3 linked regions of the Drosophila melanogaster genome follow. The protein of the gene in region 1 interacts with the protein of each later gene in a pairwise test. Each region holds a gene or a part of one and is shown on either strand. Other genes may lie near its edges.

The links.
Region 2: the proteins of smash (region 1) and M7BP interact in a two-hybrid assay, tested with the Drosophila melanogaster proteins (one large-scale study listed by BioGRID).
Region 3: the proteins of smash (region 1) and FoxP interact in a two-hybrid assay, tested with the Drosophila melanogaster proteins (one large-scale study listed by BioGRID).

The regions. Positions count from the first base shown.
Region 1 is NT_033777.3:4,657,815-4,662,592, reverse strand, and holds the start of smash (smallish), read right to left. Parts: upstream 3,015-4,778; 5' UTR 2,194-3,014; intron 2,067-2,193; exon of another isoform or gene 1,654-2,066; intron 1-1,653.
Region 2 is NT_033778.4:7,626,821-7,631,841, reverse strand, and holds the start of M7BP (Myosin-7a binding protein), read right to left. Parts: upstream 3,042-5,021; 5' UTR 2,730-3,041; intron 1,666-2,729; 5' UTR 1,651-1,665; coding exon 1,514-1,650; intron 348-1,513; exon of another isoform or gene 1-347.
Region 3 is NT_033777.3:9,725,479-9,732,483, forward strand, and holds FoxP (forkhead box P), read right to left. Parts: upstream 5,395-7,005; 5' UTR 3,956-5,394; coding exon 3,417-3,955; intron 3,359-3,416; coding exon 3,181-3,358; intron 3,125-3,180; coding exon 2,947-3,124; intron 2,888-2,946; coding exon 2,843-2,887; intron 2,758-2,842; coding exon 2,681-2,757; intron 2,614-2,680; coding exon 2,512-2,613; coding exon of another isoform or gene 2,449-2,511; exon of another isoform or gene 2,140-2,448; coding exon of another isoform or gene 1,930-2,139; exon of another isoform or gene 1,673-1,929; intron 1,536-1,672; coding exon 1,092-1,535; 3' UTR 542-1,091; downstream 1-541. Other genes in the region: hyd (hyperplastic discs), read right to left, coding at 1-47; alphaTub85E (alpha-Tubulin at 85E), read right to left, coding at 5,851-6,672, 6,801-7,005.

The sequences.
Region 1 (4,778 bases):
TCATTATATTTCTAGCTTTTGAAACTAATGTATGAAAATTTTAACTTACGAAATGCGAGTATGTTTAGAACAAAATGGAACAAATTTGTAATTTCGCCACTGATCTGGATTTCATTTACCCGATTACAGAGCGGTCCGAAAGAGAGACCAACTTAGTTAGCAAATGAAAATGAAATGTTTCCCTCTATGTAATTCTGATTACAAAACAAAATGAGCCACGAAAAAAAAAAAGCAAAACCGGGCTTCGAATGTGCCCCAACCGGCAGACAAAACAACCGAAGACAAATGGCCATAAAATGAAAATTGCAACTTTGGAAATTATTCGGCAAACAAGTTATGAGCAGCCGCGGCATTTGGGCAGTTGCGGCGGCGCCAATTTCCACGGCACCCTTTTCCTCCGGTTTCCTAGCTGGAGCCGCAGCTACTCCTATTTGTACCATTAAGACCGCTTCCGTCTTTGAGGCAAACTGAACTCACATAAATTGACGCACGAGGCGCGCAAAAACAATGAGATGGGAAAAGCATAAACAAAACAGCAGCGGCGGAAAAGCTCTTCGAAAAACAGATGATGAGGAAAATACCCACCGTGCAAAGAAGTGAAAAGTACACTTGAAACAAAAATATAATCCGATATTTGTTTGGACTAATAAAAATTAAACTACCAAATTTATAAAACCGATGTGTAAACAATATGATTTCTTGATCATACTATTTTCTGTCGCATTCAATCGCACTATAGAGAAAAATATAAAAAAAGCATGAGAGCCGCCACCCACCTGCACCATTATGAATTGATTTTCATGTGAGGGCACAGAAAAAATAATATTCGCTTGGGAAAGTGCCCCGGAAAAGTGTGTAACGTGTAACGACCGGCACCGCTCTCTCCCACACTCGCCCTGCCAATTGCTGCAAAAAATTGCCAACCACTGTCACCCGGAGGAATTTATTGCTCCTTTTGTGGGTAGTGCACGCTATCCTTCGAAAACCAAAAAAAAAAAATTTTTAAGTTTTGAAAATATATTTGTTTGACGATTTTCCAGGCACCAGAACTTGGGAGACACAAGTACTTACATACATACATACATAGAGATGTTTTTTTTTTAGATTTTGAAACTCAAGTTCGGAAGACGATGAACTCCATATCGCCGGGGAGTGTGTAACCCACTCCAGCCCTTTCAAATACCTTTCTCCTGTCCCATCACCTTCATCATCCAATCCACCCGATCCAATCTAGTCCAACGCCCTTGCCGCCGGGTTTGCTCCGAAAGTCGACTTGGTCCGCTCGTAACGCAAATGAAGCATGAAGCCTGAAATATTAGCCAAGTGCGCGGCTGGCGAAAAATGCGTCGCCCTGTCGCACAACTAGGCAACCCTGACAGCTGCATTCCGCAAATGCAATTAAACCAACTTTCCAATGATGGATTTTTTCTTTCGATTATAATTCAGCCGTTTTTCCCCGTCTTTTTGCCATTACCTTATTAGCTAAAAACCTGTAGCCTGTAGCTCGGGCAATGACGATAATGATGATATCAAATAAATGACTAGGCGCCCGAGTGCTGCAAGTTTGAGCGGTGAGAAAATTGGCATGCAAAGTGAAAATGTTTTGGGGAAAAAACCTATCAAAGCCAACACAGAAACGCATGTCGAGGGTGTCGAAATTTTTTTGAGACACATTTGTCGAACATCAAATTCGAAAGCCAGCAGATCGGTGGATGGATCGCAAGAATGTACAACTCAAGCTCACAAGCCTCACTCCAGAACACGAGCCTCCATCTACAAGTTCCGCCTGACCAACATGATCCAGGTCCCAGAATGCTGCTTGAGGTCATATCCCTAGTCCTGGTCATCACAACGTTATTTTGCTGCTACTGTTGCGTCAGATGAATGGATCTAAGCGATCCGCTCAATGAAGAAAAATCTCCGAGAGAAATGTGTTTTACCCAATCCTACTTTTTGATATCCGTTAGGAAAGATAGGAAAGATATTAGTCTTCATTTTTCGAATGGACCTTTTTTTATGTAAACTTCAAGCCAATAGTTACAAATTGCATAAATAAGCACGTTACTAAGACAATTGGCTACCTTTTTACACTTTTCTTTTCTACACTTTTTACGGTTTCAAAATGCAGATTTTGAAATCACTTATTCACTTATTATTTACTTTATTCATTGTGCAGAAGCTGAAAACACTTACCAACAAAATTCGAAGCTCTGTTCGTTGCTGGCACAGATGCTGTTTTTTACACAGTTGTTTTTCGGCGTTCAATTACATATATAAAAACAATTCAAAAGAATGGCGAGTCAATTGGAACAGCCACTGCAGAGTCCTAAAGTTGTTGTTGTTGTTGTTTGGAGCTGCTTTTCGGGAACAGGCCAAAAATCATTAGAAATTTCTATACTCGAGCGAGCAACACGTACACACGCACACATACGCACTCGCACACAGAGGCGCACCCACACACACTAATAAACGCGGGCCAGAAAATAAAACGGGAAACGTGTTTGCTTGTGTACTGTTGTTAGAACTGTTGTTGTTGCTGCGTTCGCAGTTGGCTGTTTACGGCAGTCGTTGTTGTTTATACAGGTTGTACATATGTATTTGTGAGCGAGAAAAACAGTTTTCCGCCGCGCCGTAATTGCAACTACTCAGCTTGGTGGATTGGACTCCCGTCAAAATCGGAAATAAAAGGCACTACCCACCCACATACACACACAAACACACTTCTGCCAACTCTCCTCCCTCAACCGCACAAGCGCCGCAGTTGCACCTCGACTGAATTCACGATTTTACACTGCACAGGTGCAGTGCTGCGCAAAACAAAACGCAAGACTCTCGGATCCGAACTCCGTGGCTTTGGGCTTTTCCTGCCTTATTTCCCGTGCGCACATATGTACACATTCACATGTATTCATGTACCAAGGGGCGAAATCACGTCCGAGCGGGGAATTATGTGCTTGCGTGCCGCGCTAAACTCTTAGCCACCTCCTTTTGGCCGAGTTCAAAACGTACTGCCGAGCGTAGGAATTTGTGGATATAAAAATGGGGCGGAGTGTGGCCAGCTGAATCAGTTGAGGTGGGTCGAATCGGACTACGAGCGGTATTTTTATCTGTCCGCAGGCAAGGTCTCTCTGTACGCTCTTACGTTTTTTGTTACGTTGTTCGGCGAAAAGCCTTCAAAATAATTAACAACTTTCTCGGTTTTTGAATTAGTACGTAAAGTATTGCATACAAAAATCAACGAGACGCTGATGGATCAATCTATGAAGCTTTGGGATCAAATAATATATAATATTATATAATGATATATGGCGGAGTTTAAAACCAAACCAATTTCAAGATAATTTTTTATTGCGCGTCCCGAAAGTATGCTACACCCATTCCTTTTTTTTAAATTTATTTATTTAGAAGCGATGAATCCATACAATGCAGCAATAGCAACATAACAGCGCAATTAACATATAAATGATAAAACCAAACCTCTCACTAATCATGTGAGGATTTAAACACCCATTCCTATTTTCAGAATGGAACTCGCACGAGAGCTAACGTTTGAAAACAAATGTATTCATTTACTTTACTTTTTTTATATATCGACTGGTAATTCTTAAGAATAAATCTCCACCCTGTGATGCTAAGATACAATATAATTATGTACGGATTCTTTTTAATAAATATATATAAAAAAATGTATTCATATGATTTTGACAATAATATGAGTATACATATTCCTATATTCTCCTAATATAAATATTAATAGGATAAAAGGACTATAATAAGGTAAATGTAAATATAGTCTAGGAGAAAGTTTTACCAACAATAGGGGTTATAGTCATTCATGTTATGTTATGTTCTGATTCGGGAGCTGAACCCTAACTAAATATATGGGCTCCTTGATATATGACACTTAGGACCTATAGAATATCACATTCTATATCTCGTGTATAAAACAAAACGTGAAGTTTTACCATATTTCGCCAAAGTATATATGTGGGGTTCATCGCTCGTTATATAAATTCCTAACTTGTTTATATAAAATTTGACTCGTTCCGCAAAGTTTTTGCTTGATCAGAGTGCTTTTTAAGATAGGAAAAAAGAATAAGGAATAAGATAGCTATATAGAGTCTTAGGAAATGGTTAGGAAATAATGCAAATAACATAACCTTTTCAACAATATAAGATTCAAAAGTCTGTAACTTCAGGCGATCGGAAGCTATGACAGTACTTACGAGGATTTAAAGCCGCTAAATTAGACGGCTTTTTATTGATCGTCAATCTAAAGATACTTAGATCAACATTTGTTCACAATTTACATGGTACGTTCATACTAAATTCCTTGCTAAAATTGTTAATTCTTTTAAATTAGTGAAAGAGGACTGAGTTGTGTATCAAAAATCAGGACATTTTAATTTAAAAACAAAAGATACCCGATACTTAGCGGTTGGAGTGCTAGGAAGCTAGAATTTAGGTTATACAAATATACAAAGTGAATTAAACATTTTTCTTTTTAATACTTTCTAGCTTCGGTTTATCTACAAATACAAAAGTAAAGCATTTTTGAACACTAAAATAAGGTTTTGATGCAAAATCTTTCGAAATATCTTTTTTATGTGTTATTGAACATAATATTTATTTATATTTTTTCTTTTAATTAGAAGCTATAAATGGCATATAAATATTTCAATATAATAATAATAATAATAATAATAATAATAATAATAATAATAATAATAATAATAATAATAATAATAATAACATGTGATAAATTCCTTTGGTTTTCC
Region 2 (5,021 bases), on another chromosome or scaffold:
CATCGTAAATTGTTTTATTGATATGAGTGTAATAATCTTTTGATTATCTCCGAGTTTACTATCCGGCTTTCGTGAGATCATCATTGACCGTATCTAAATGGATTCATGAATTATCTTGAATATCTTAATTCACCTGGCCAAATCTTAAATTTATTTAAATTCAAATAAAACTCATATGCCTAAAAGCATGCTTTATTACGTAGAAAACGATTTTCAACAGCCTTAACCATAAGCAAACTCGAAAACAATACTGCTCAATAGTAAGTAAATAATATCGCATTAGTTTAAACATTTTCCACAACTTGTTATTGTTCTCACAATTGGTTTTGAAAGCACTAAAAATATTTCGTTTTGCGGCTTTTCACTTGCCACAAGGCCAAGATAACTGGTTTCTTCTCACTTTAATGGCGAATAAAACCCAGAATTTCTGTGCATATCTAAACTCTGCCATCGGCCAGAGTTAATTGCATTTGGCTGACTTTCCACAGTTCCACAACTCGTTTGGCTTCATAGAATGTCGTTCATAAAATGTCGTCTTTAAGACCCGGAAATTAATAAGTGAATTATAAGCGAACTGAAAGCTCGTATGTAGAAAATGGTACTCATATAAACTTTATTATTCTGTTTATGTTTTTAATCTTTTCCTTGCTTAAATATATAAAGAAATTGTGCCTCAAAGATATGCATTACTCAGAGCCTTATAGTTTCGATACGCATATTACCCTAATACACTGAAAAATGATGTGTAACTGCCGTCGCTATAATAATACAAATAATGCTGTCAACAAAGCGGCTAATTAAGATGCCATTGAAAAGGTGACGAAAGGCCAACAATTGAGGGGCGTTGTTAGCCATGGCCAATTGTTATTGCCAATTTGTGACGCTTTTTAAGGAAAAAGCAGCTGGCGGCGGGTGGGCGGTGGAAAGTTGTGCCCTTTGTTGGCCAACGACTTCCGCTGGCCATTCTTCGAGGTTCTATCGTTCTTGTGGACGGATTCGCGAAGAGTCAATGACAGCTCGTCTGGGTCTGGACTGGCAATGTTATGAAACGTCTAACGGACCGGCAGGCCATCGCCGAGACACAACAGGTGCTGCATAAATTGGAGGCAGGTGGCGGAGATTGCGCAATCCTTAATTAAGGCGACGCTACGCACTCGATGCCCAAAGTGAGCAGTTGCATCGCCATCCCGGTCGACGGGGCAAGTAACAAATGGCAAATGGTAGCTGGTGGAAAACGGCGACTGGAGAAATGGCAACAATTATGTCAAATCTCTTCAGCTCGGCCATTTCCCACACGCAAACGCAATCAACTCATGCGAAACGATGGCCACGTAACCGGGTTGAAGTTGCAGTCAAGAAAGTTTAGTTTCAGTTTCTATTCGGATTTATCTCGCGCTGCATTTGTATCTGCAGCATACAAAGTGCACGTGCGGATGCGGAGCTTAGCTCACGTAGTCGAACTTGTATCCATCGGATGCTATATTTTGATTTATCTCCCATTTGATTAACTCACCCCAAGAGCTGCTGGGCGCCACACTGCAGCAGATAGGCGCCTCCAATGAGACCCACCACGGAGGTGAGTCCCAGCAGCAGGTTCCCGCTTCCAGGTCGGTTGATTGGCAGCTCCATGAGGCAGATGTAGGGGCGCATCCAGCGCTTCAGGCACTGCGGAGTTCGCATTGAATTCAATTACGCTATCGATTTCGCGGCATTTGCATCAGAAGCACACGCACACACACACTTATCGGAAGCAGCTCTGATTTAATTCCACCTCGATTGAAAACCCTAACTATACTGAATCAATGAAATATCCGGAACAATACTACACCAAACTATTTTTTACTACTTATCAGAGCCGAACATTCTTCATTTGCGGCTATCATCTCTTTGTGGACATTTTACGTGGTTTTCGGCCAATACATACTTTGGCCTTAGCCTTATCAAAAGTTTTGTTTGTTCGATTTAAATTGCCTAGATTTCGACATGAAGTTGTATGGGTAAATATACCCTGAGCAGGGCATTTAAGTTTCGGTTATTAAGTTGAATAGAAAATTGGTAAACCAGTAATACAATTAGTTCCCAGCGAAAATATCACGTAAATAAATATTTTTAGGTACAACTCAGTGCAATTGGTCACATTTGAAGTCGTGACCATTAGTGATAAATAATTTTCAGCATAATGCAAAGAAGGATAAATGAAATTGTTGTCATAAATCACTTAAAGAACATTATTCATTTAAGTATGCAAATCTCGTAGTTTAGATGCAATCACTTGAGAGAAGTTTAGAAAAAACTTTGTCTGCAGTTCGAATCACGTACTAGCAGTTATTTATACGTTAATTTAATTGCCTAAGTGTTTTCCTTTGTGTTTATTTTTGCACATTGCGATTAGCACTAATTAAACTTGATAAATGTCTGTATGTGTTTTTTTGCAAAGCTCCTATCGACATTTTTGCTTTTTTTCATCGAGATCTTCTATAGAAGTTGGCAGTTGCATAATCTCCTTTGGTTTTGCATTTTTTTATTTACAAAAATTATAGCATCAGTTGTGTGTGTGTGTGGTTCTAAGAATGATGTATTTTAATTATCGTGCTATTCACTTCAGTTGGCATTAAAGATGTGGGTTTTATTTATAAATTTGTTTGGTTTTTTTGTAATATTTTGGGAGTGGAATCTTCCCACTGAACCGAAATGAACTTCACTGGCGAAATATCTGAATAAATAATTACCACAAATTTCGCTTGTCTTGTTATTTCTGTTTGCAGTTACGAACGACGATTATCAATCACTTTTCGGGCAATATGTTTCTCAGGTGCTTGCCACACGAACTCAGTCCGCTAATTGCCATCGCCCGCCCGCCGATCACCTTGCTCCATCTTCAAAAAGCCCAAACCGTCGACAGCGTTAACAATCCCGACTGCATGACGCACAAATTGAAACAAAACATACAACAAACTGATTAGGATCACGTGGATAAGGGCCCCCCGTGCCAACGATCTTCAAGTTAAGTTAACTTGGCGATTGGAGCAGCTGACTCCGACTGCGAGTGGAGCGGCGACAGGTTTGTTTTAGCCAAGTTGAATTCGGTTTTGTTTACTTTTTTGCACAATATATAACTGGGGTATATGGGCATTATATTGGATTTTGTTTGCCCACTTCGTTATGGCGGATCGCGTATATAGCCGACCGACCGACCGACCGACCGACCGTTGATTTGATAAGAGTTCCGCTCGCGTCCAGAGATATATAAATATATATATCTCGGTATGCGACGAAAAAGTCGCAGATAAGTGTCAAGACTATTTCGGGTGTGAGGTCACAAACGGGTGTACACTCTTTCCAATTGTGTTGAATCTACGGCCAAATGTTTCCAGGGTTTTAAATTTTTTTTTAAATTTTTTGTGGTTTTTTTTTAGGATTTGTGTGCGTTGCGGGCGAGTAACCAAATTGGAACTGGCCCTTATTGGCGCACTGGGTCAGAGCTTTGTTGGCCATGCAACTGAGGGGGTGGGGGTGGGTGGGTGTTGGCGGGTAAATCCCCATTGAGCCGCAGAAATATGGACACTTATGACCCACCCACCCCGTCCACTATTCTCTGGCATTCCACGTTGTCCAACGGACCTTATGCAAATGCAATTGCATATGCCACTTGGCAGCTGCCAGTCACATGTCCGCCGCTTGGAGGATGGTGGCAAGAGTTTGTGGCCAAAAGAAAAACCTACGAAATCGATTGGCCCTGCCATTGGGCATGCAAAGCTTACGGCAATTAATTGCCATTAATCAACTTAATTATGAAACATTCGATAAGATTGCCACTCCGCTCCTCGGGCATCGAAGCTCGTGTGGAAAACGAAATTATCATGGAATGGGCCATACATTTGGGTGCTCCACAATCTAACCAGTCGATTCCGGAATGCTCTATTCGTATTTATAATTCTATAAAACTCTATCCTGAAATATTATAAAAAAAAAACAATGAAGAGACTCCAACTTGTTTCTCTATCAATAACATAGTTATATAAGTTTATGTAGCATAATTATCCAACTATAAAGTGTATCTTTCCTCACACTGAAAACAGACAACAATATAGTTCAAAGAGGTTTTCCAATTACAATCGCCGAACTGGGTTGGTCCTCATTATCATTCTAATGGAACTTCCCCGCCACAGTTTCCCAACCAAATTGCAAACTCATTCGAAAGCTCGGTGGTCAGAGGCAGCGGGTTTCTCCATGACAATTGTCTAAAAAAGAGTTCCCAGAAGACTCCGACTGCTCACGGAAAGATTTCTGGCTGTACGAATGACATGGCTGAGTGACTGACTAACTGACTAACTGCACCCGAGATTTTGTCATTTCCATTTTGAGGCCGGCAAATTTGCATAAATTGATATCCGCCTGCAGTCTGCGAAATGCAGATGCATACACCCAGAGCAGTTTGCCGTAAGATTGTGGGCTCCATGCGCACCCAAGTCGGCTCAGGCCAATCCCCCAGCTGCCTGTGGCTTCCGTTCTGGCCACATGGCACAGTCCAACTTCCACAGCTTCAAGTTGTTGTCAATCAAATTGAAAACATCGAATTGAATGATGGAAATAAATATATATGTATATGCCCTCTGATATTAAATTGGATCGAATGAATGCTTCAGAAGATTGAAAATCTGGCACTCACCTTAATCTATCGCGCAGCTGCTGGTGGGTGAGTTGATCCCGCTGCAACACCTGGAGGATCCGTTGGCACTGGTGCAGTCGCTGGCGCCTCCTCAAGGTCGGCGACTCCGCCTCGAGCACCGCAATTCCGCTGTCCACGCTGGAGTTCAGCTGCTGTTGCTGGATGGGATCGGGATGGGGACTGCTCCCCTGGCTGTTGCTGGTGTTGCATCCTACTGGCGATGTTTCTGCTGGCACTTCACCTGCCATGTTGCTGCTGCTGTCGCCGCTGGGCGGTGTGTGGTGTGTGTGTATGTCGGTTGCTTGTGAATCGGGAGCGGCCCTAGGCCATTTCCATTTCCGCACTCAGTGTC
Region 3 (7,005 bases), 5.1 Mb from region 1:
TCGTCCGAGCCCGGTAGCGGTTGCAAAACAAATTGCATGGAAACCATTTTAATTTTTCAACTATTCATGTACACAGTGTCCTCGTTGAATTTTCATGTCACAAAACGTTGAGAGACTTTCAGAGTGACCGTACTGGCTAGAGCTGGGACGAAAACCGATGCCGCCCGACTGTATCGATGGTTGCCGGAAAATTCGACGGTATCGATACATTCTCCAAACAAATTTATTGGTAAACAAAAACTTTACTTTCAAATTAAATTGACATTGACTACAATATGTGTACTTAGGCTGTATATATTTTATTAAATTTAAGATACAGAAGTTCACGAATGCGTCCATTCTTATCGGTTGTTTTTCCTTAAATAGTGGCAGTCCAAAAAATCTCCAATAGAATATACTAAAATATACTAAAGACCGCTTTAAAATAATGAATTGGTAGAAAACTTTGATTGACAAACTTTTGAGAAGCCGATTTAACCGCTTTTACGTCGCGTAAACCGTTTGCTTAGGAACTAGAAATAAAATTCAGTTTGTTCACTTTGTTGTATATTTGAGGAATTTATTTAGGTCACTGAGTATCGTTAATGATCTTAAATTAGAAGGAAATTAGATAAGTCAGCAGAAAAGCATATACGTTTACTAAGGAGTTTCCAAATCTAAAGCTCTCAAGGGTCCAGATTTTTAACAGAAGGTATACCTGAAAATAGTTTCCTTAAAAAAAAATCATATTGTGACTTTTAAAACAGTTTTGTTAAAATTTTATCAAGCTATAGCTTTTAAATGTTTTCTCCCTTGCTGAAAAGTGAAAATATTCATATATGTTGTACTCGTATATTAAAATCGTGTTATAAGTGGAGTTATTAAAGCAAGTTTAAACACATTAATTTTGCTTTAATAATTTAACGTAGTTCTTTCGTTTATTTTATAGCATTAGTGAAATTTATTTTAAAAGTATTTTTTCATTTCTATTTGGGAAATTATACATAGAACCATGTGTATGTACAGATATAATTTCCGAATCCGAACCTTCTTACCAAACGCAGATTACTCGACAATGCATCTAAATATATGTATAGTTAATGATATATTATTTATCGATTGTGCTCATTGGCACTACTCTCGTACATATTAGTAGAATATTCATCGATTGTCAAGTGGCTGTTACTTTCGATCATACCCGAGTCCATATTGCTATAGTCCTTGGACGCTTTACTTAAACCATCACTACCGCAATAGGGAAGACAACCAATTCTGCCTAAATCATTTGGATTATTGGAATCTAGAGGATTATCAGCACCCGGTGGCAAACTAGTGCAATGTTGCGTACAATTGTCGCAGGGATTCTTATCAGTGGGCACACCATTGCCGGATTGGCATGAATTTGGGGAGGAGGACGGTTCATATTTCCGGGGTCTCCCTCTCGACAAGTGCCGCCTTTTGACAAACTCATTATCGTCGACCATCCAAAACGAGCCAAAGTCATCTTCATAACGTACAAAGCACTTGTGTAAGGAAAGGTTCGTACGAATCGCATTCTTTATGATTGGTTGGACAAAACAAGAGCCCCATCAAGAGTCAGAAACAGGAAATTGCATTATCGTGAAAGGAAGAAAAAGTTCATTGAGATATTAAGGTTAGTTCATTTGTCTTCGGTCTTCTTATTTTCATTTTTCATAACACGCGAAATCCTGGATAATCTTCATCAGCTAAATTCCAGACAGACAGACAGACAGATCGATGAGCAGACGGACATCATTTTGGGTTTCTACCACTAAGAGATTAGAATCACTGTTTACAATTTGCGCTGTAAAAAGATCGTATAATGTCATATTATATCATTTCGATATAGGAGCATGCATGCAATGGCATATGTATATTTACTAACAGAGCAAAACGGAAGGAGTTTGGAGCAAAGTGAGTAGAATTAAACTATTTGAGACCCACATACCCAATGTTCATGGCTACAAAATAGTTAGTGTCCGGCGAATTGGTAGCACCGGTTAGATTGTTACCAATGCCAGCAGTGCGCTGCGGTCGTCTTTTGTAAAACTCAATCTCATCGACAGTCCAAACTGCTCCTTTCACATTCTCAACCCGCATAAAGCACTTATGAAGGGACAGATTGTGCCGGACTGCGTTCTAATGATATATATTATCAGTTAGCATAGGCCAAACTTAATTTGATTATTTTAAGACATATAAAAAGGAAATGGAATAAAACAGGATCTGACCTGTGTAGCTTACCTTGTTATATATCACTTGTATTTAGCTCTATTATACTCTTAAATATTGGCAAAGTAGTGGACAATGTGGAAAAGGTAGTATATAGTATATATACAGCGGACAAGCTAGGAACGCCAATCGGACAAACGAGAGTTATACGGACGGACAAATGGTCATATCAGATCATAGATATCATATCATATAGCATAAATACTCAAATTAAAGTTATGTTGCATAATATATAGATAATATGGAGGAAAGAAGATTTACATATATGGGGCATTTTACCTTCCACGTAGCTGCGTTGCGCCGGAAGTAGCAAAATGTGTTTTGGAACCAGTTGTAGATTTCGTTTAGGGTTAACTGCTTGTCAGGGGAGTCAATTATAGCCTATAAATAAAATATATATAAAAAAAATAAATTAATGTTATATTAGGAAATTGGTTTTTAAAATTACCTGTCTTATGAGGGAAGCATAAGTAAAAGGCGGTCGTACATCAGCATTCTTATAAAACTCTCTGTTTCGATGGATTTCTGCAAATTTAAATTCTTATTATATGTCTTCCAGAAGCACAAGACGAATAGTCATCAAGACGATCAGTCTACATAATTTACTTACCCTGTTGCACATCAAGACCTGCTCTTTCAAGCATATAGGGTAATCCTATATCCAAAAACCATTATTATTTTTATACAGTAATAGTAAATTTTTCCCAAACTTACCCCCATTTATGGAAAATGTATTTTTGTCGTGGTTTCTCTTTTTGATCGAGCACAAGTTGGTGGAATTAACCATTGGAAGATTCAGAGGACTCGGTGAATTTGTTTGTCGGATGGGTCGGCCTATGCTATTTACGGTAAGCGGACTCCGGCAAAACTTTCCCTCTCTTCCGGGCACGTCCTTATATTTATAACTTTTCATTATACCAATACTTACTCACATAAAAAGGGACTTACCTTCCTGTCGATTTTGGTGGGAGACAAAAGCTGCTTGGACAAATACAAGTGATGCATCATTGCCTGCAAGCGATCTCGTTCTTTTTGCAGGTGGGATTCCAGCTGGGAGACAACTTGCATTTGAACCCGTGCCTGTGCTGTTGATCGATCGTCCAAACCATGTTCCGTATTCAGATGCCTAGTTAGATAACATACCCTATATAATTATTTCATACCTCTAATTGTACTCCACCTACTTGACAAACGATGTGATGTCTTCCAAATCCATTTCGCAACCAGGCCAACGGCATATGCCATGAGCAAATAACGGATGATAGTACTTCCGCATGGCGAACTCATCGTGCATATAGCTGAAATCATTGTTGCACACCTCATTATCCTTCGACCGCAAGAATCTCTCTGCATCGGAGAACATGAGCTTCTCCTGCTCGGATATGAACTCGGGCACATTGTAGAAACCCAGATCGGGAACGGGAGCCATCATATGCTGACCCTGTATATGCATGTGTGGATTGGATTCGTGCTGCTGGGCCGCCGTTGAGGATTCATCGATGCTCGAGGCCGGTGAGCTGCACTTAACTACATGTGAGGCAAAGGTGATCGAGTTATTGAGAAAGCCAGTCGGCGGAAAACAATTGTTCTTAACAGCATCTGAGCATATGTCTGGTATGGAAATTTGGTGTCTCGACTTCACTGATATCTCCTTCTGAATCGAACTCTTAAAGTCCGATTCCTTGGCATCCTCGGAATACTCGTCGTCATGTATCCGATGCATGTTTTTAAAACTGAAATTTATAATCATTACCATTGATCCTTTACCCAAGAGATGGGCATATGCAAATACACAGAAATAATCTCTTTTTCGTCTGTCATTAGGAGTCATTTCAATAAAACTATCTTTACTCATATGCCGCCATTCCTGTAAAACTCCGAATCAGAGTGATAGTTTAAGGATTTCTATTTATTACGCCCTATTTAATTTCAGCTTAATTTTCCCGCACTATCATTGAGATGATACTTTCCCCAAAAGTTATGAATATTTAACAACTTGGCGCATATAAGATTTAACCCCTACTAAAGGCCCAGTGCTAAATGAATTCAGTGTAAATTAAATTAAACATTCTTTAAATGTTTGATTTAATTTTAAATATGTTACAAATAAAATGCCACGTCATCCGGTGCAGTTAATCTGTAAATATAAAGGTTATTCATAGAAAGCATTTATCATATTTAGGCGTATAACAAGTTTAAGATCTCACAAGGGGATTGCATAGGTGGCAAGGAAACCAGACACATCTTATTTTGCTAAAAAGAAACATATACAACATACATAACATAAGAAACATACAGACGGAACGGTCGGACAAACGGAAGGACATACAAACGGACGGACAAACGGACGGACAAACGGACGGACAAACGGACGGACAAACGGACGGACAAACGGACGGACAAACGGACATACAAACGGAAGGACATACAAACGGACGGACAAACGGATATAAAAACGGACGGACGTTTTGGCTATAGGATGAACTTAAATGGAAGAGTATATGAGTTTTGCAGATAGGACCATCTTACGATTGTTTTAATCAAATTCCTGTAATGAAAAATTATATAGCCACCTAAAATAAGAATAAATGTAAATGGTGAAATATGTAAGTATTAAATGTTTTATAGGAAAAGAAGAAAGATATAAAAGAGAAGAGAGAGGTATGGTTTTCATCACATTCGAAGATCCTGAAAAAATAGTATTATATTCGATATACATAAGCTTTTTGTGTAAAGGCGAATAAAGATAAATATATTGTTGGTATTGTGTAGATTTGCATTGTCTGTATTCGTTGGGGGCATTGATTATTCCAAGGGGTATATATGGGTAAATAAAATATTCATATTTCATATGTATACATATCATACAATTTCTGTATAAGAACTGTTTAAACTGGGACTTTTAAGATAAAGTTGTCTGCCTAGACTACTCAACAATATCTTAATTAACTTAACAGACTAGACTTAAATTTTGCGAATACATACATGCACATACAATTTTGCAGACAAAAGAGGATACAATTTTGCATGTACATTTACAATTAAATAACATTCACAGAGGTTTCCAAAGAACAATATTATATTTAATAACGGGCGAATTTTTTAATACAACTTTTCACATATATGTAAAATTAATTTAAACTTAAAAACTATCTTAAGAATATTTTTCGCTGCTACTCCTGAAAAGGTACGTCTACGACTACTGAATTTGCTAGAAATATGTGTACACATTTTTGCGCATGCGTTTCAAAATGCATCCTAAGGCTCCATTACACGTAACGATTTCAAAAATTAAAAACTTTTAAAAGTCAACATTAATTTGCCCAATTAATATTAATATTTAAAGCAATAAGAAAGTGATAAGTAGGGTTTTTTACGGAGGGGTAATTTCCAATAAATATATGATTTACCAATTTCCTTATATGAGAAAGTTTTATTCTTATTAACACAAAAGTTAAATTCCATCTAAAGACGAATATTTCCCATTTAAATAAGCCATTTTAAGCAATTGTGTTAAACTGTTTTATTGCGAAACTGTTTTATGCATTGGTATTTGGTAGAAAGAAAGTGATGTTTATAAAGTTGTAATGGCTGTATCATTTGTTGACAACGTTTTCTCTAGTATTCCTCATCTTCCCCCAGTTCGGTGGTGGAGTCGATGCCTACCTCCTCGTAGTCCTTCTCGAGGGCAGCGAGATCCTCGCGAGCCTCGGCGAACTCGCCCTCCTCCATGCCCTCACCCACGTACCAGTGGACGAAGGCCCTCTTGGCGTACATCAGATCGAACTTGTGATCCAGACGGGCCCAGGCCTCGGCAATGGCAGTGGTATTGGACAGCATGCAGACGGCGCGCTGCACCTTGGCCAGATCTCCGCCAGGAACAACGGTGGGTGGCTGATAGTTGATGCCCACCTTGAAGCCCGTGGGACACCAGTCGACGAACTGGATAGAGCGCTTGGTCTTGATGGTGGCAATGGCTGCGTTCACATCCTTGGGCACCACATCACCGCGGTAGAGCATGCAGCAGGCCATGTACTTGCCACGACGCGGATCACACTTGACCATCTGGTTGGCCGGCTCGAAGCAGGCATTGGTGATCTCGGCCACGGTCAGTTGCTCATGGTAGGCCTTCTCCACGGAAATGACGGGAGCGTATGTCGCCAGTGGGAAATGAATGCGTGGGTAGGGCACCAAATTGGTCTGGAACTCGGTCAGATCCACATTCAGGGCGCCATCGAAGCGCAACGAGGCCGTAATGGAGGAAACGATCTGGCCAATTAGGCGATTGAGATTCATGTAGGTGGGTCGCTCGATATCCAAGTTGCGCCGGCAGATGTCGTAGATTGCCTCGTTGTCAACCATAAACGCACAGTCCGAGTGCTCCAGCGTTGTGTGGGTGGTTAAGATCGAGTTGTATGGCTCGACCACAGCTGTGGACACCTAACAGGAAGTTCGATTATTAGATTGCCTTTCGAAGACTAATTTCCCATGTCTTTTACTAATTATGTTAATTGGTCTTCTATAAATGCTCAAGCAATAGATATAATATCCATATGCAAATGACATACTTGTGGTGCTGGGTAAATGGAGAACTCCAGCTTTGACTTCTTTCCATAGTCCACGGACAGGCGCTCCATCAGCAGCGACGTAAATCCAGAGCCAGTGCCGCCGCCGAAGGAGTGGAAGACCAGGAATCCCTGCAGACCCGTGCACTGATCCGCCAACTTGCGAATCCTGTCCAGGACCACGTCGACGATCTCCTTACCGATGGTA